Linked DNA regions of Yarrowia lipolytica. The protein of the gene in region 1 purifies or fractionates together with the protein of each later gene. This does not show direct contact. Links are inferred from orthologs where the notes say so. Each region holds a gene or a part of one and is shown in the gene's direction. Other genes may lie near its edges.

Region 1 (4,529 bases):
ATCCTGATTAGTGAGTATCTGAATGAGACACACAGCAGGAGAAGGGTTACAGACACAGACACAGACTCAGGCTTTGGAGTGACACTAACAGCGACCACACCACGCTCATACGTTACAGGTCAGGTACCACCACACTGATCGGAATGTTGCTGTTTTGTTGTAATGTTTTTTTTTTTTTTTTTTTTTTTTTCCCCACCAGTGGATGTTGTGGCACTGCCAAAGTCACATTGTGACCACAACCTGGTTATGATACGGCTAGACTAATCTGCTGCGTGTGTATATTGTCGAGTCCTCCTGAAACGTGTTCTGGTTATATGCGACTCTCGAACACTGTTGCAGCTGTGCTTTGGTATCATTGTCTGACATACTAGCTTGTCTGACATACTACGAGCAGTTCCACTGTTATCGTCGTTCCGGCTAACACAGTCCCCTCATCCTCCTATCCAACCGCGACGAGTATCTATCCCGCCCCACCGCAGAAGCCTTCTTCTGGGACGACAACGTCCTTGGACCCCTAGATCTCGCCCGGGAAGAGCAAGGCACCTGGATCGGATGCAACAAACAAGGCAAGATCGCTGTGATTCTCAACTACCAGGAGAAACGCGACAAGGATGCCATTGGCGACATCAGCCGCGGAAAGTTCCCCAAGGAGTTCCTCCTCTCCAATGAGTCGCCCGAGGAGTTCACCAAGAACTTCAAGAGACGATACCCCGAGGACAAGCTCCAGGCCGCTGGTGGCTTCTCCTTCCTCTTTGGCCAGGTGGATTTGAACGGGAAGACACAGTTCTCCATCATTTCGAACCGTGGTGGCGATCATGAGTGGGTGGCAAGGGATCCAGAGGACCAAACCATTGGAATCTCCAACTCGCTGTTCTGCAATCCTTGGCCCAAGTGCGCTCTGGGAATTGAGCGGCTGGATGAGGTAGTAAAGGAGAGCGTGGAGTCTGGAAGCAGTCGCAAGGAACTTGTGGACTCGTTATTTGACGTTCTTTCACACGACACGTTTGATCCCGGCGCCAAAAAGGGCGCCTCCGAGCAAGAGATCCACCATGCCCTGCGCCAGTCAGTGTTCATTCCCGTCATTGCTGCTGCGGGGTACCAGGAAGGCCAGGACTGGAACGTGACGCACCCTTTTGGAAAACACTATGGCACTCGGACACAAACCATCATCATGGTGGGTAAAGACGGACAGCTGCGGTACTTTGAGAAGACTCTCCATACAAAGGACACTGACGAGAAGGAGGAGCATCCGTTAGTTGAGCATGTTTTCGAAATCAACAAGGAAAATAAGAGCGGGGGAGGAGGTTCTGGAGGTTGGAGGTGTTTGTTGTCGTGAGCAACAGCAGTTAACAGGTGAGTGTAGTCGTGAACGAAGACGACAAACCCGCCTCAGAGGCACTGAGTTTCTGTGATGTAGTCGTGACCTTTCTCGGCATCCCGCGATCTTCCGATTCAGATTTTAAATAATGCTCTATTGATACTATGTGAATTACAATCTCCATGCCCGTGGATTCTAGATCCTTCCTATTCCTTTTGCTTACTCCTTGGACTTCTTTTCCTTCTTGTCTTTCTTTTCCTTTTTCTCCTTCTTGTCCTTCTTGTCCTTCTTGTCCTTCTTTTCCTTCTTCTGCTTCTTTGCAGAAGGCTCCTCGGTCGTCACATCCTCCTGGGATCGCTTTTTGGTACTTGTAGATTTAGATGCAGTCTTCTTGGTCTGGCTAGCAGACGAAACAGGCATGGCAGAATCCAGTCCGTAGTCCTCGGGTCCGTAGCCAGTAGGGAACCATCTCTGATGCAGACCGTCCACCTTACCAACAATGGGTTTGGGCACACAGACCTGTTCGAGGTCGACAGGAGGCAGAGACACCTTCTCGACGAGCTGCAGCTGCTCGGAAACGGTCTGTTGGGTGGCTCCAAGGTAGTCCGCGTCGGTCTTCTTGCCGAAGACAAACACATTGTGTCCTCCCTCCATGGTCTGCAGAATGTATGTCTTTTTTCCGAGGGTGACCTCACCGTCGATTTCCAGCGGCTGTGATGCGAGGTCGGCCATTTCGACGCCCTTGGGGAGCTTGATAGACCACAGGGTCGTGTTTTCCTCGGGCAGGTCGGCGATCATGATGGTTGGTGTGTGGGTGTGTGGGTGATTTCGAAATTGAATATGCGATATGCACAAATTTTTGATTAAAGTTTTTAATTGATATTGAGTTGACTTTGGTGGAAGTTGAACTGACAACCATTCAGAATGTAGCCTTTAATTCAACTTTGGGCGGAGTCGAACCAGCGGGTGAAAATTACCTCGCATTTGTGTGATTTTGCACAAACCAGATCACAAACCAGCTCACACAACTACAGTCGAAAATGCTCCGACAACTGGTGAAACAGACCCGTGTGGGTTGTATGGCGACCCGAGGCTACGCCAACACCGCGGCACTCGCCCATGAAGAGCGGCTCAAGCACCTCAACTTCCTGTCGCAGTACTACGACGCCGAGACGGTCGAGTCGATTCTCAAGGCCGAGGCTGCCATCAAGCCTGAAGAGTGGGCCGCCAAGTCGCCCCTGTCGCGAATGTCGCCCGGCTACTTTGACGACTTCACCGAGCACGATCCCTTCTACGATCACGCTACTAACAAGTGGACCAACTTTTCGCAGCCACGACAGCCAGTGCCCACCGAGCACGTGCTGGGAACCAGCTCGGCATACCCTCTGGGCTCGCTAGAGACCGGTGACGAGACCGATTCTATTGTGGACACAAAGTTCACCGAGAACATCGAGCCCCAGTTTCACGACAGAATGACTCGAAACACCAGACTCCTGCTAAACAGAATTGTCAAGAGTCAGACCGGAAAGGGAAAGAAGATGCAGTTCTGCGTGCTTGTGGCAACTGGAGACGGCAAGGGAATGCTTGGATTGGGCGAGGGTAAAGATCCTCTGTCTTTCCCTGTGGCTCTCGAAAAGGCCATGTGGAAGGCAACTCGATCTATGAAAATGGTGCCCCGATACCAGAACCGAACTATCTACGGCGAGGTGTACAAGAAATTCCACGCCGTGCATCTGACCATGCGGTCTGCTCCTGCTGGTCACGGTCTGCGAGTCAACCCCATTGTGTCGCAGATGTGCAGCATGGTGGGTATCACTGATATGACCTGTAACGTCTACGGCTCGCGAAATCCCCTGAACGTGGCCAAGGCCGCCTTTGAGGCGCTCACCCAGGAGCAGGTCATCCCCGACTCCATTGCACAGATCCGAGGCAAGAAGCTCGTTAACCTGAACGAGACCTACTTCGCCAAGTCGGATTAAAACTTGTATATAGCCTATGAAGTGCCCTCGATTAAAAAGAAGGAGTGGACCGTAGTCAGATTGTAGAGCGAGAGTGTTTAAGCAAACTTCAACTCTCTTACGTGAAAACGTGACTGAGCAAAAGAGCAGTACAAGTACAAGTAAATACTGTGTACTTAATGGCGGAGTAGTCAGTCAAGATACCTTCTTGATCCAAAGCCACTCAAAGATCTGTTTTCCAGACAAAGGTGATATACAACAACGTCTGCTTCTACTTGTACTGGTATATACTTGTACAGTATGTCCTCTAACCCGCGTTTTGCTATCGCTGCTACTGGTACACCACAGTGTGCCTGCACACACGGTACTACAAGTAGCGGTATTACTTGGCGAATTTTTATCAAGAGCCGACGAGACATGAGACTAAGTTGTACCGATATGAATAAAATGCCATTTTGAAGTCCCGCACTTTCTAGCAGCTTAATAGAAGTTATGAACTGAACTATTTCAAACATGACTACAATAATCTACCTTAGCAAGTTCTAGAGGTCATGAGGTACGCAATAACCAGGTCTAAAAGGCAGTATAATCAGAAAAAACAGCTGAGTATGACTCTGATAAAAAGGTATAAGGAAATGATCAACTTAGGTACATCGAATCCCTACATTTTTTGATTAGTTCTCTCAGACACCTGCTGCATCACTACAAGTAGCCACAGTAGAACCACCAAATGCTACTATTTCGAGACGGAAAATCTATACACGAGATACTAATGAATCCATGAAATAGGAATATTCTTTAATATGGACGAAATTCTGCTTAATTTCCCCGTTTTCGCCCCTTCGAAACACCATTCTCGAGCTTAGATGTATTCACCACACCTTGCTCTACACTCGTTGGGCGTGTAGCACAGTGGTAGCGCGTGGGCTTTGCATGCTTGAGGTCACCGGTTCGAACCCGGTCTCGTCCATTTTGCCCTCAGAAGCAAGTAATTTTTTTTTGACTGTTGATGTAAATGGTAGATTCCGAAGGCTACGACAGAGATATGTGTCTGGCGGAAGTGCGCAGGATTGAAAGATCATTATTTTCCTAAGTAAGGTTTAACTTGACCAAACTAAAAATATGACATTACATAATGATTAAGTAATAACCAAGTAATACCGGGCAAAAAAAACACTGATCAGCTAGAAGCGATGGGACTCTAACCCATATTGTTTCCTCCACTGCCAGTTCGTGAGAACTTGACATGGACA
Region 2 (4,443 bases), on another chromosome or scaffold:
ATCGCTGCTATGTCCTTGTAGACCTTAGGCCAGACCTTTACTGCCATTGCTACAGTAAGTGCAGTATGTACAGTACATACAATACATCCGGTTCAACTACTCTTGTCCTGATGACGTCCCATCTCCACAAGGCCAGTAAACACTGTTGAGTCCCTGTTGAAGGACCTCTTTTCTTAATCATCTTGTCAATAATCCCACAAATTGTCGTTGGATTCAACAAGACCAAAGTTCAACCTGAGTACTGCTCATCTATACATATTCTCGGATCCTGAAGTCTTTCCTAGTTAGTGCCGGCGACTGTCACCCTTCTATCATACGGCATCACTCTCATCGCCATCTACTGGTATTCTATACTGATCCAGCTGTTGAAAAGTTCCTGGCTCAGATAATAGCTAGCTTCAGTCATGACTCGGACCAAGATACCTCAACATCCGCCATTTGATGGTTGACTGTCTGGGGATTTGGTTCTTCTGGATCAGGGGCGATGAACGACAGTCTGGTCATCATCAGATGCCTCCACCACAGCCTAGGATTCCATATCGTCAACCTGAACGGAGACTCCAAGTGTCTGACTTCCGCTTTTTCTTCTCTCGAAGACAATGTTTCATTCCATGACCTCAGTGTCATCTCTACATCGACCTACTGGAGCCGAATGTTGCGTGCGTGCTTTCCATTGCTCCGGCACTGCCTCGTAGACTTGCACGTTCACCTCTTCAAGTCCCTTCCACTCAACGATGGCTACAAGTAGCTGGTCTATCTATAACTCATATATTACCATCACGTGAGTGGGCTGTAGCGTTCTGTACATATTTTAGCACGGAGCATTGTGATCATCAGTGCTTTACGTGAGCGTAACATGTGACCCACTTTCTGTGAAAAAAATGATTTGTCACACTCACGGTCCATCTCACCGTTTTTTCTGGCTCAACACGGCGCCCAGAACAGCAGCTCCCACCGCAATGACTCCTCCCACAATAGCAATTCCAATCATGCCCTCCTTGGCCAGCTTGTCCTCGATGATCTGACGCAGCTTGGCGCTCTGGGGGTCATCGGGCTCGATCTGCAGCAACAGGTCGCAGTATTTCCGAGCATCTGTGTATTCGCCAAGCTTGTAGGAGCCGATGGCAAGGTAGTAGAGGCACTCTCGACGTCGAGAGGGCGTGTCCTTGTACACCTGGGCCAGGATCTGCACTCCCAGCTGCTGGTCCTCGACCTTTCGAGACTTGATCAGACCCCAGGCATAGTTGAAGCGGGTCTGCACCGAGACAAAGTCGCCCTCGTTGTTGTACTGTTGAGAAAGAACGTAGAGCTCTTCGTCCGAGAGCGGAGACTCGATATCGACGAGGTCTGTGTTAGAACGGAAGTGGCTGCAGTCCGGGGAGTTGGGGGTAGGTGTCATGTGACAGGGTTGTTGGAGGTAGATCCAACGGAGTAGAGCAAGCAGGTAAGGAGTTCTAAAAACTGGTATCAATGAGATGTAGAAAGTGCAGTAACGTATCGACGGTCTCAGTTGCGTCTTTGGCCATGGTTTGTAGAGGACCACTGTAGGCAGCGCCGATTCAACCAGCACCAATGTAAAGTCAACACTGATTGAATCAACACCGAATACTATATGAACCTCCGCCACGCCGCCTCCACTGCCTCAGAGAATATCCTTGAAAACAACTAAATTGACCACTCAAAATTTGGAACCAACACGTCATAGACAAGTCCAACCAACCGCTCCACTCCATCACTTTCACCCACCAATCGGCGCAAACATGGGTATCTCAGGACTCATCTCAGCTGTCGTTTCAGCTGTCGTCTCAGTTGTCGTTCCAAATCGCTTGTCACCCTAACCCCTCAAACACCCTCCCCTCGCCTCAATTCCCTAACCCGGCTCTCCATCAATACTCACTGGGCAAATAGTCCTCCTTCTTCATGGTTGTGTATGGCGGATAGTACATGTGTGCGGGATCGAATATGTAGGGTTGCTGCAGTGGCGAGTCACGTGAGCGAACTTTAACGAAAATTAAACGGAGTCACAAAACCGGCACACAAAGAGCCTTCAGAATGTTTGATAACTCGGTCGCAGGTCGATATCACTAGACTAGGGACCAGGCATTATCCGCCCCCGTGGCGCTAACGAGCTTAGTCATCACGGAGTTAGCATAAAACCTTATTTCGATATGTGCAACCTTATCGTTGTTGGCCAATGAGAGTGCTGTTTTTTAAAAACCGCAATACCGCTTCCCGGCAGAGTGACCAGAGAGCACGTGTGTTGAGCGTTCTGATGAACACAAAAACCGCGTTCAAACGGCGGTATTTCCCTCCCCACTTCCTACATCTCAGGGTTAGGGTAGGGTTAGGGCGGATGCAGAACCTGTACTATATCAAAAGTCTGGGATAGGGTTTGTTCTTGTGGGAGGTCCTGACTAAGCGCAAATTTCACACACATCACCAAACACACATACAGCAAAAATGGTGGTTCATATTATGGGAAAGCGGTTCCAGAACACCTGGAAGGTTTCTGTGAGTATTTCACGGGTGACATGGAGCGGGTGATGACTTGTTCGGAAAAGATGGAGCCACAAATGACCGAGAACGCGATGGATCAAACTGTGAGATTTTGTCATGTGGACATGTTGAGCTGATAAGAGCTTAGGCGGATGGGAGAAGGACGGGAGAGTGACTAATGATGGGGTTTCGGCGGCGACAAGTGATTTACCGACTTTCAGCTTTCGCAAGTAGGTGAGAGAGAAGAACTGGTGTGATGATATGAACGTCACACATCCGACATGTACGTGACACGGGCTTGTGCAAACGGCAGTATTGACAATTGAGGACGGTTTACAAGGTGTTCCGAGACTCAAACTGTCGTTTAGTCTTGTTTTCGAGACTTTTGGCCCAAAAGAGAGTGATACCATCAACCAACAAATAACGTGTACCCAGGATACGTACATGGACGAAAAAGAGTGGATAGACGGCCTATCTACATCTAAGATCTGGTATTCAGCGCAGGTTAAGACCGATGAACACTGATTTTTCCAACCAAAAGCATCAGATCTTACACCTTACATGTCGACACCCACCATCCTTCCCGAGTGGCGGATTCCACCTGCTTTCTTCAGTTTTGCTCTATTCTCCCCTGCCTCGTGACATACTAACTCAGTACGGACTGTCTCAGCAAGTGTTCGGCGTGGGTCCGTTCCAGGCCAAGCGGCTATGTGCCAAGATTGGCCTGTATCCTGGCATGCGAATGGGCGAGCTCACCCAGGGCGACATCATGGCAATTGTCAAGGAGCTGTCAACCAATGTGACCATCGAGTCCGACCTGGCCAAGAAGATCAACGCCGACATTGAGCGAAAGCGAAAGACCGGCTCGTACGTCGGTCGACGACACGTCATGGGTATGCCCGTCAAGGGCCAGAAGACTCGAACCAACGGAAAGAACGCCCGACGGTTCAACCGAGTGCCCCGACGACACTTTGGCTCCGTTTCCGAAGCTCTCGGCTCACTGGCCAACGAGTACAAGGCTGCCCCTGGAGCCGAGGCCAAGGGCATCATGGGATTCCTATCCAAGTTTTGGTAATGTATATAGTCTGACCGAGGTTAAAAAATGAAATGTTTGAACGCAAGCGACAAAGTTCCACACTGGTGGCACCGTCAGATAGTCGTCTACGAGGCGATGTCAAGTTACAGGTTTGTCGTATGTCAATCCAACAAAAGTGTAAACTACTGTAGACTCCCAACTAAAATGTTAACTAGACTCAAGTACTAAATCTCCAAATGTCAAGTAATTAAACATAAGTTTGTCGCAACTAACAAACAAGGGTGTAACACCAATAAAAAATCATACGACGTGTTTTTGAAACCACCTGCCTCGCTTTTCTCTACTAGTCCAACCACAGTTTGTGTTTTTCCACGATTCTTGTCATCGCCTTGCTTTTTTTTTGCTGTTTTTTGCTTTTTTTTTTTTTTTTTTTTTTTTTGTGCGGCTCTGAAAAAATTAAGCTCCGTCGTAACGTCAGACTAAAACGACCTTTGATCCACCCACCCCACAAGACAACGCAGCTTTCGGCTAAGCCATTACAACAGCATACAACTTGCCCTAGAAGAGTCCGATTTGTCTGGAAAATTTTAAAAAACATTTGTGAAGCCCACATGACTACTCAGTTCAATTTTCAAACCGAAAATCCCCAAACCGCGTCTTCTAGATCACGATGGTTCTTTTCGTCAGATCCAACCTAATCAAAACATAGTCCCCAAGTACAACGAAAACCAAAGAAAAAACACGGTAGTTCGAACACGACATGAGGAAAAAGCATAGGGGAAGTCACGTGATCACGTCTCTGGTCTGGTTTATTACTAAGCAGATCTTTCACTCCGCGCACTCTTTTGCATTTCTCTTTTCACCAAGCACCATTTGCATGCACATCATCGTCAACTGTCAACCTCCCTGCA
Region 3 (4,869 bases), about 590 kb from region 1:
CAGATGGTAGGGTCCAAAGCCGGCGCTGTAGGGGATTCCGATAGGGGCGTTTGCAAAAATGGAAAACAGCTTGTTGTGGATCGGCTTCTTGAAACCCAGGTTGTGGGACAGCTCGTGGATCGCCAGAAACAGGTTCTGGATGCACACGGCTCCAATCACGTAAGCTGTGATCAGAAACGGCCAGCTCAAAATGGGACTGTTTCGAAGCAGGTAGGCACATGTAAACTGCAGAGAAACCACTCCAAGAACCACCCACTTGGTCAGGGGCTCGTGTCCAGTCAGCTTGGTCACCTCAGGGTGCGCCTTGATGATCTCCATCCGTCGAGATCTATGGGGCTCCTCCTGGTAGGTCCAAAAGAAGTCCGCCTCGGAAACGGGGCCGGCAGAATGGATTTTCGGGTGCTGCTCATTGGCGGTGGTCACGTGGCGCGAACGCACCTCGTTTTGTGTCTCGGTGCTCATCTTCGTCGGGTTCTTGTCCAGCGTCGAGTCGAGTCTGGGTAAATCACGCGTCTATCTACAAGGGCAAATAATCGATGACATGACATTCAAGGAGTATCAGACCTTAATTTATTATTAGAGTTGGGGTATCGAGCTATTCATGCTTTTGTAGACCATGTTGATTTGAGGGTTGCGTGGGGGGAATAGAGGGGATTTAAACGTGTACATATAATTGTTGTCGCCTGTTGAACATATTCATGTACTTTTTTTGCGTCGAAAACGGACCTAGCATGCCTATTTTGAAGTCCTCTTTTCCACGGAACAAAAGAGAGAGAGCCGAGAACCATAAAAGGTATTAAACTCTCGCTGACTAATCAATCGGCTATAAATGAATGTCACCATGGAGGTCCCTTGATGAGGTAGTTGGACCATCACGAACAGGCTGAGCTTCTTACTGTCAGTTTAATTTGGCTTTGAAAGTGCACATTCCCGGTTCCAGTCTGGAATATTCTCATTTGAACGAGTTCTGGACGACATTGTGAGGTTGGGCTGGACGGACCTGAAGACACTATCAGACATCTGGGGTCTTTAGGGACCGTGTGGAAGCGCAACGACTCTGTGTTTACCGTACTTATAGTGTCGAATTGCTCTCGGTTTGTCGAATTGCTCTTGGTTTGTGCTCTCCCAAGGTTTTGTATAGTAAGAGTGGAGCAGTGATTGATACGAGGTGTGATTGTAATGGGCGATTGAATGGGGGTGTTGAGGAGGTTAAAGTCCTGAACGATGGAAATTTTGTATCTTGTACAATTGTGTTCTTTTCAGTTCAAATTTCAGAGTTGTAAGGTCCTTTTTCAGAGATTTCTGGTGTCTTCTTAGGCCCATTGATTGAGGAGGTATGGCCAAATGACCTCAACAACGGTAGAGAAATTCAGTCGTTTGATGTGTTGCAGTAATTTGATGTTACTTTTCAACGTCTTTCCCATGTCTTTTCACTTGTTCGTCGTATCTTTCGTCTGTTTCGCACATGAAATATATCGCGTTAAATTGAGTCGACCCGAAATCGAACCCACATCCATCTCTCGGGCACGGGTAAAATTTGGATGCAGTTCCACAATCAACTTCAAAGGTAAAATAATTTGTTCCTCCGATCACAGACCGAGCGTGAGTATCAAAGAGGAGGATGAGGGACAAGAGCAACGAGGGAAAGAGCTGGTAGCAGCTCTGATCTTCTTTATACAAGTCCACGAGCAAGATTGAAAGCAATTCTGCTCACATTGAGTGGTACATCATACAACCCCTGGTGTTGCAAACGTCTCCATCTTGAGGCGGAATTGAGCTGTGATGGAGAAAAGTGCTGAAGTCTCTGGAAACGTGTCGTGTCGCATTGTGGTCGGCTCTTTTTTGCCCGCATTGCGCGAACCGGTTCAATCAAATACCCCCGTGCCTGGAGACATTGCTGTGTGTCTGTCTACCCCACACACTGTACAGGAAGGGACACAAAGAGAGCTCCGACGTTCGGCCGAGTTGTGGGAGGGAGGTGGTGGCTCAGAGATACTTAATGGGGTGTTTCCAAACCACCACTACTTGACCTTGTACACGACAGTGCGACACACATCACAATGTGAGTAGACACAATCAGACTCAGACTCAGACGGACGGTCCAAGCCACATTAGCTACTTGACACTAGACACTAGACGCCAGTGCTAAGAACAATGATGCATAGACAGACACAGACAGGGGCCACAAACCAGCACGCGAAATCGACTCGGTGCGTTTGACCGCTGTCTCTTGTCTGTGCTTATGTCCTGTGCGCCCCCCACGAACCATCTCACCTGTTTATCTCCGCCTTGGATTACCCCACCACAATACAGCCTACCCTAACCACCCAACATGGGGACCTTAAAAGACTAAGCTAACCCAGCACACCCAACATGTTGCGAACACTAGCCCGAACTAGAATGCCCCTGCGAGCTCAAATCAACACCCGATTCATGTCACAGACCACGGCGGCTGCCGAGGAGTCGCCTGTACTCTTCAGCGACAACGGCACCACCCGGACCATCACCCTCAACCGGCCCAAGAAACTCAACGCTCTGGACGACCCCATGTGCCGAGCCATCTTCCCCCGCCTCAAGGAGTGGCTCAAATCCGACTCCGCCAATGTCGTGCTGTTCAAGGGCTCCGGCAACAAGGCTTTCTGTGCCGGAGGTGACGTGGCTACTCTTGCCAAGCAGAACGCTGCAGGCGCCCAGGGCATTGAGCAATCCAGAGACTTCTTCTGCACGGAATACGCCATGGACTTCCTGCTATCCGTCTACCCCAAGCCCGTGATTGCGCTCAACCATGGCATCACCATGGGTGGAGGTCTGGGTGTCTCCATGCACCTTCCCTTCCGAGTGGCCACTGAAACCACCCTCTCGGCCATGCCCGAGACCTCAATTGGTTTCTTCTGCGACGTTGGCGGCACCTTTTTCCTGCCCCGACTCGACGGAGAGCTTGGAACCTTCCTGGCTCTGACCTCGTCCCGACTCAAGGGCTACGAGGCTGTGGCTGCCGGCTTCGCCACCCACTACATCCCCTCCGCTCGACTAGACGATCTGGAGAAGGCCATCGCTTCTCTGGACATCCCCAAGGGCCGAGACGCCACCGAGCTGTACTCCCAGCTCAACGCACTGCTCAACGACTACTCGGAGGTGCCTGCCAACTTCAAGTTCCAGTACGGCGGCGAGTTCCGAGCTCTGATCGACCGAACCTTCAAGTACGACGCCATTGAGGACATTGTGGCAGCTCTGAAGCAGGAGGGTGAGGCTGGTGAGAAGATCATCAAGCTCCTGGGCGAGCGATCCCCTACCTCTGTCAAGGTGACTCTTGCCGCTCTGCGACGAGGCCGAAACCAGGACATTCAGTCCGTGTTCAACGATGAGTGCAATTACGCCGAGAACTTTATGCACTCTCGAGAGTTCATTGAAGGTGTCACCGCCAAGCTCATTGACAAGCCTGCCCGAGAGCCCCAGTGGGAGCCTTCTTCTTTCGAGGGCGTGACTCCCGAGATTGTCAAGTCGTTTATCCAGAAGCGACCCGGCTCCAAGAACGACGAGATGGAGGTGGTCATCAACGATACCTACAAGCAGTACCCCTGGAACTTTGGCTTGCCCCGAGAGGTGGAAATTGAGCAGTACATCAAGGGCGAGACCCGATCGTCGGATTACAAGGCTTCCCCTGCCGAGGTTGTCAACCACTTTACTAACAAGTACTCTGGTAAGCCTGGTGTGAGCGAGAAGGTCAAGGAGGTGATGCAGCGAAAGACCAAGCCTGATCCTAACGAGCCCAAGGTTCTTGACTGGGTTAACTAGACGAGTACGAGCGTAGGCGGTGTGCTTGTACACTATGGCAGTAATGACATAGATGACGTGTATATAAGAAAGATATGATTTGAACAAGACTGAAGATATTGTCAGTACAATAGTGAATAAATACATTAGTTAAAGTACAATACATGGTGGCCATCCTACAAAGCCATACTCTCCAGCACGTCTCTCTCATAAATAATGTCCAGTCCCAGCTCCTTCTGGTCCTCTCCCAGGCCCCAGGCCAGCCCATAAAGCTTCATAACTTGTCTGAAGATGGCGGCTCTGGAGTTTTCACCAAACTTTTCGACGCGGAACTTGAACAGCTCTCGGTGTGTTTTTTCCGTGGCGGCACATCCGGCGATGGCCATGGCCCAGCCAATGATACAGGACACGTAGGAGCCGAGCTCGATGGACTTAAGCTCCTCAACGGCCGCGGTCACGTGTCCTACAACCTCCTCTGATGTTTCCTGGAGGTCTGGGTTGAGCAGTTTCTTGGCTAGCAGAATGACGGCCTGTCGCATCACCCGGGAGGCGTACATGTGCTGCATGAAGCTGTGGTACTCGAGCTCATCGGTCATGTGTGTCTTTTGAATGTCTGGGACGGACCATATTTCGAGGGCTCGGATGTACGACTTGATATTCTGCGAGTCCTCGATTGTGAGTACTTCCTTGCGGGCGATCCAGCTGATCTTCGCACACATTTCAAACACAATGAACCCAGCTCCGAGAATGGGATTGTTGGACCAGTACACTTGGGTCTCGTAAAGAGCCACCTGAAGGTACGGTCTGAACTCGTCAAACACCGAGGGAGGACTCAGGTAAACCAGATCGCTTTTCTTGCAAAAGAGAATGGCCACAGAGTAGTTGTAGAGGAACGCTTCCATCAGAACACGGTCGTTTTTGTTGAGCGCAAAGATTTCGCCTCCATCGTAGACCCGTTTGAGCTGGCGTTCTCTGAGAACTCGTTGAGCTCCACTGAGATGACGTACAACCGCCGAAGTTGGGCTTCCGAAATGCTTTTCAAACGTGGTCAGCAGCTGGACGATTGAAAACAGCCAGTCTTCACTGCCGTTGACT
Region 4 (4,192 bases), about 880 kb from region 1:
CCGAGCCAACGGCACAAAATGGAACCACAACCGAAACCGAAGAAGATAGAGAGGCAAAACGACTAAAGACGGAGTAAAGGGTTGCACTTAGCGACACTCATTAGCACAGCATGGATTATTTATCATAACAGGTACCAGGTGGCAAGTGGCTGGAGGTCACGGGCATCGACGGAATTGGGTGGTAATTGTAGCAGGGAGATCAGGTCAGTGTAGGTGAGTAGTGGTTGTAGCTCGACATCCCATACACCTTTCTCCATGACGTTGAAGTATGGCTCTCGACAGTACTTGTATATCATAGAGAGTGTGGGGGCCATGTCTCACCCATATGTAGCATGCTTGATAGGGGAACTGTACAAGTACATATCCAGACTTGTCTTCATACACGAAGATGGGAATTCATACCGTGATTGCTGCGTTGCGAAGCCATGTACAAACATTCGTACTGGTACCAGTTTTGGACAAATCTGGCTTCCTATCTAGCACAGTACGATACAACACCTAGGTGCCTTCGTCTGGCCTAAAGATATAATGGGCTACACACGCTTGCGTTTGCTTGTTACTCATTTACTATATACATTACCCGAAAAGAGCCTTGAAAGCGGTCTGCTTAGCCTTGTCTTCAGGTCGGTTCCACTCCTCGGGGAACTTGGCCAGTCGGTATCGGTCTCGCTTGGCGATGCGCTCCGCCTTGTTTCGGGCGTGTCGGGTGTCCAGAGGCACGTCCTCGAACGAGTCACCTTGCTCGGCCTCGGTCTTGAGCTTGAGAATCTGAGTCAGCAGGTAGTGCTTGTTTTCGGGGGCAGAGGGGTGTCGCTTGCTGGCAAACTTGCACTGGCCGGTCAGAGCGTCGTAGTTCTGTCCAGACAGCAGCTTGAACTTGTGCAGGCCCTTGTCGGAGAGACCCAGGTTGGCAGGGTCAAAGTAGCAGACCACCTTGGCCTCTTCGTCGGCCTCCTCTCCGGTGTACGAGGTGTACTTGAAGGTCAGGGGAGAAGCCTTCTTGTCAGCCTCCTTGACATCAAAGGGCACATGATAATCGACGAGTCGGGGGAGCACGTAGGCAGACATTCGCTGGAGGTGTCGCATCTTTCGCACCTTCTCCACCTGCATGTGTCCAGCAGTGGGGATATCGTCGTACATGAACTCGTTAACGTGATCAGCATCCAAAAGATCGTCGTCCTCCTCATTCTTCTCAACGACGCTATGCTTGCCGTGGTAGGCGGATCGGATTACGCCAGCGTCGGCTCCAGCAACTCGACCAGCTCGAACCAGCTGTCGCAGTTCCTCCTCGCTCTGGGAGTAGGCCGATCCGAGCTTGAACTGTCGGTTGTGAAGACGCGTGACCACCTCATGGAACTCGAGGCCGGTCCAGTTTCTGGGGTCTAGTTCCTCGTCGCTGAATCGCTCGGGATCCAGGTTCTGCCGGGTCTTGAAGCCCAGCTCCTCAATGGTATCCAGAGCCTCCTTCGTCTTGGCGTCGAGCGTGTACTTGGCCTCAAACTGGAGCTCCTCGACTCGGTTGGTCCGGGGAAGCAGAGAGGCGTCTGCAGAGGGGATCTCGGAGGGCTCAGCAAACGGAGTGGCTGACTCAATGCGCTTGTCGGTTCGGAACGAGGGCTTGGACTGATCCGAGGGAGGAACGTCGGTCGAATCGGACATGAAACGAACATGGGTCACGGCGGAGGCCCGGCCTACAACCGTGGCTCGTGCAAACGCTCCCTGGAGCACCCTGCTTTGGTTTGCCAGTCTGAGCATGTTGTGTGATGATTATGAAAATGTTCAGTGGTGAGAAGTTAAAAAATGCAGTGAAAATGGAGGAGAAGCGGGAGGGTTTCCAGAAATGGCTGTAAGAAGGCTAGAAAGATGAAGAAAAGAGGAATCAATAGCCCATGGTTGGAAAAGTAAATCTAAGGTGTTTTATTCGCAAAAAATGACACCATATAAAGATCTTGTGTCAACTAGGAAAAACCCTACCCTGATAACTAAGCAAAACCTTCTTCATACTATAGAGCTGGACGACAATGGGAATTTGAGGAGGTTGAAGAAGAGATAGATGGGTGAAATTTAGTCGAAATATTTTCGCTGTGGCAATATATATTCTGTCAATTTTTCAAGGCTGCAGTCCTCAAACTCCCCATTTTACTGATACCCATATTCTCTCTCCGAAAAGCTAAAAAAAGTCGAGTGACCGAAATTTCACCTCAAATTTCACACACTTTGAGGCTGCAAGGATTGTATTTGGAGATATAAAGAGGTATGTGATAAATGATGGAATGGGAGCATAAATGACAAAATGAAAAAAGTAAATATATACAAAAAGACAAGCTACTTCACCTACAGCCTTTATTTCTGCGAATTTACCGCTCCTTGGCCCCCGCTCCAACCCCCCCAGGTTCCACCGGTACCACCTCTCCTACACCCAACTCAAACTAACTTTTCACTCTCACATCACCATCTACACACACCACCATGCTGAGAACGACTTCAGGACTAGCTCGGTTCTCCGCCCGTCGCGGATACGCCTCGGCGTCGCCCGCCAAGATCCTGGTGGGTCTGAACGTGCGAGCAGACCGATTTGACGGCGACCAGAAGGCCCTTGCCCAGGAGCTGGCCGTCAACTCCGATCTGGGTGAGGAGGACACAGACGCTATTGCTGCCAAGTACACGGAGCGAATCAAGGCCAACGCCGTAAAGCCCATTGCTCCCGAGACCGCCGAGGGCCATGCTCGACAGTGGATTGCTCTGTTGGACGACATCAAGGCCAAGAGCATGTCGACCGAAAAGTTTGAGGGTAAGGACGCTCTGGACATGCAAAAGTTCCGAGAGACGCTGGACAAGTACCGACAGGAGAGCACTGTTTCCGGCTTCTTCAGCGACGTTTCCGCCAACAAGGTCGACCCCATGGCGCTCATCGACCCCACTTCTGAGTCGCAGTTTGAGCAGGTCATCACCGGCAAGAACGGTAAGAAGGCTCTGTTTGTGCCCACCGAGGAGCAGGTGGCCGAGGCTGAGGCTCTCAAGACTGCGCCCATCCCCAACAAGGTCGACGGCGAGTTCGAGGCCCATCTGATCAATATGATCATGAAGCATGGCCGAAAGAACGCTGCCCGACGGCACTTTTACCAGGCTATGGAGCTCGCTCAGGTCATGATCAAGGCCGACCCCATTCCTCTGCTCAAGCAGGTCTTTGATGACGTTGCCCCCGTCTGTGTCATCAAGTCGACCCCCGTTGGTGCTCGAAAGGTCCAGTACCCCGTTCCCATCACCGAGCGACAGCGACGACGAATAGTGTGGAAGTGGTCCGTCGACAACGCCGAGAAGCGGCCCAACCGATCATTCTCGGTCCGACTCGGAGAGGAGATAGCATCCGTCATTAAGTCCAAGGGAGCGTCGCTCATGGAGAAGACCCTGGTCATCCACAACCTCGCCGTGGCCAACCGAGTCCATGCTGACCCCAGCCGACCCCGAAAGTAGAGTATTGTATATAGTTAAGGAGAGAACAGATCCCGATATCGAGGAGCTTACTCCGAGAGAATGGGCGTAAGAATGAAACACGAGATCCGTGCATGAGAGCTTGAACAGTATAATAGTATGGTTTATACGCTGCTCAAGATCACTACGACTCAATCTCACTGTAGATACTCAAACAGTGGTTAGATAGATCTCATTGCTTTACTGCTTTGAAGTCGCAACCAGTGGTATGTTTCTAGAGCTTCACTCTGAAAGACGTCTCCTCTGTAGACTAGATGGGGTCTACTGTAGCTTGAAGGAAGAGAGTCTCTAAAGATGTTGTAATTACGAAGTCCAAGAGTGTTTATTTTCCCTTAATGTTTGTCGCTTTTCCCTACAAGTAGCATATATGTACTTGTACTTTTCGTACCGGTACCAATCTGTACTTGTATTCGTTCAGTGATCGACCCTCTTTACCCTCCATAAATTTACATGGCTTTACTTGAGAATTATTCGCATTACTTGGCCCATCCACTACAGCAATCAAATACACACCCCTCTAACACATCACAGTAGAAGTAAGAAACACCATTCACACAGTCTCAGACTTACTCGTAATAAAAATACAGCTATTCATTCTTTATAAATTAGTAGCATCACTCACAGCTAAGACAACACTCCTTCTCCCTGAAAAATCGTCCTGGTAGTCTTACTTGTAGTTTCCACAAACTTACATAAAGCC

Evidence for each region.
Region 2: the proteins of YALI1_D02087g (region 1) and YALI1_B08627g purify together in Saccharomyces cerevisiae (affinity purification with mass spectrometry; 3 studies listed by BioGRID, with this or other methods). This does not show direct contact. The link is inferred for Yarrowia lipolytica from reciprocal best matches to the Saccharomyces cerevisiae genes MRPS5 and SWS2.
Region 3: the proteins of YALI1_D02087g (region 1) and YALI1_D07981g purify together in Saccharomyces cerevisiae (affinity purification with mass spectrometry, with the first as the bait; 3 studies listed by BioGRID). This does not show direct contact. The link is inferred for Yarrowia lipolytica from reciprocal best matches to the Saccharomyces cerevisiae genes MRPS5 and EHD3.
Region 4: the proteins of YALI1_D02087g (region 1) and YALI1_D10865g purify together in Saccharomyces cerevisiae (affinity purification with mass spectrometry; 6 studies listed by BioGRID, with this or other methods). This does not show direct contact. The link is inferred for Yarrowia lipolytica from reciprocal best matches to the Saccharomyces cerevisiae genes MRPS5 and RSM7.

The regions. Positions count from the first base shown.
Region 1 is NC_090773.1:206,401-210,929, forward strand, and holds YALI1_D02087g (mitochondrial 37S ribosomal protein uS5m), read left to right. Parts: upstream 1-2,358; coding exon 2,359-3,297; downstream 3,298-4,529. Other genes in the region: YALI1_D02063g (uncharacterized protein), read left to right, coding at 1-10, 427-1,336; YALI1_D02085g (uncharacterized protein), read right to left, coding at 1,538-2,116. UniProt on the Saccharomyces cerevisiae protein: Component of the mitochondrial ribosome (mitoribosome), a dedicated translation machinery responsible for the synthesis of mitochondrial genome-encoded proteins, including at least some of the essential transmembrane subunits of the mitochondrial respiratory chain.
Region 2 is NC_090771.1:860,255-864,697, forward strand, and holds YALI1_B08627g (mitochondrial 37S ribosomal protein uS13m), read left to right. Parts: upstream 1-2,460; coding exon 2,461-2,511; intron 2,512-3,151; coding exon 3,152-3,571; downstream 3,572-4,443. Other genes in the region: YALI1_B08616g (uncharacterized protein), read right to left, coding at 908-1,399.
Region 3 is NC_090773.1:795,608-800,476, reverse strand, and holds YALI1_D07981g (mitochondrial 37S ribosomal protein mS47), read left to right. Parts: upstream 1-2,373; coding exon 2,374-3,795; downstream 3,796-4,869. Other genes in the region: YALI1_D08000g (uncharacterized protein), read right to left, coding at 1-462; YALI1_D07945g (uncharacterized protein), read right to left, coding at 3,951-4,869.
Region 4 is NC_090773.1:1,084,129-1,088,320, forward strand, and holds YALI1_D10865g (mitochondrial 37S ribosomal protein uS7m), read left to right. Parts: upstream 1-2,469; coding exon 2,470-3,474; downstream 3,475-4,192. Other genes in the region: YALI1_D10829g (uncharacterized protein), read left to right, coding at 1-77; YALI1_D10858g (mitochondrial 37S ribosomal protein mS35), read right to left, coding at 577-1,755.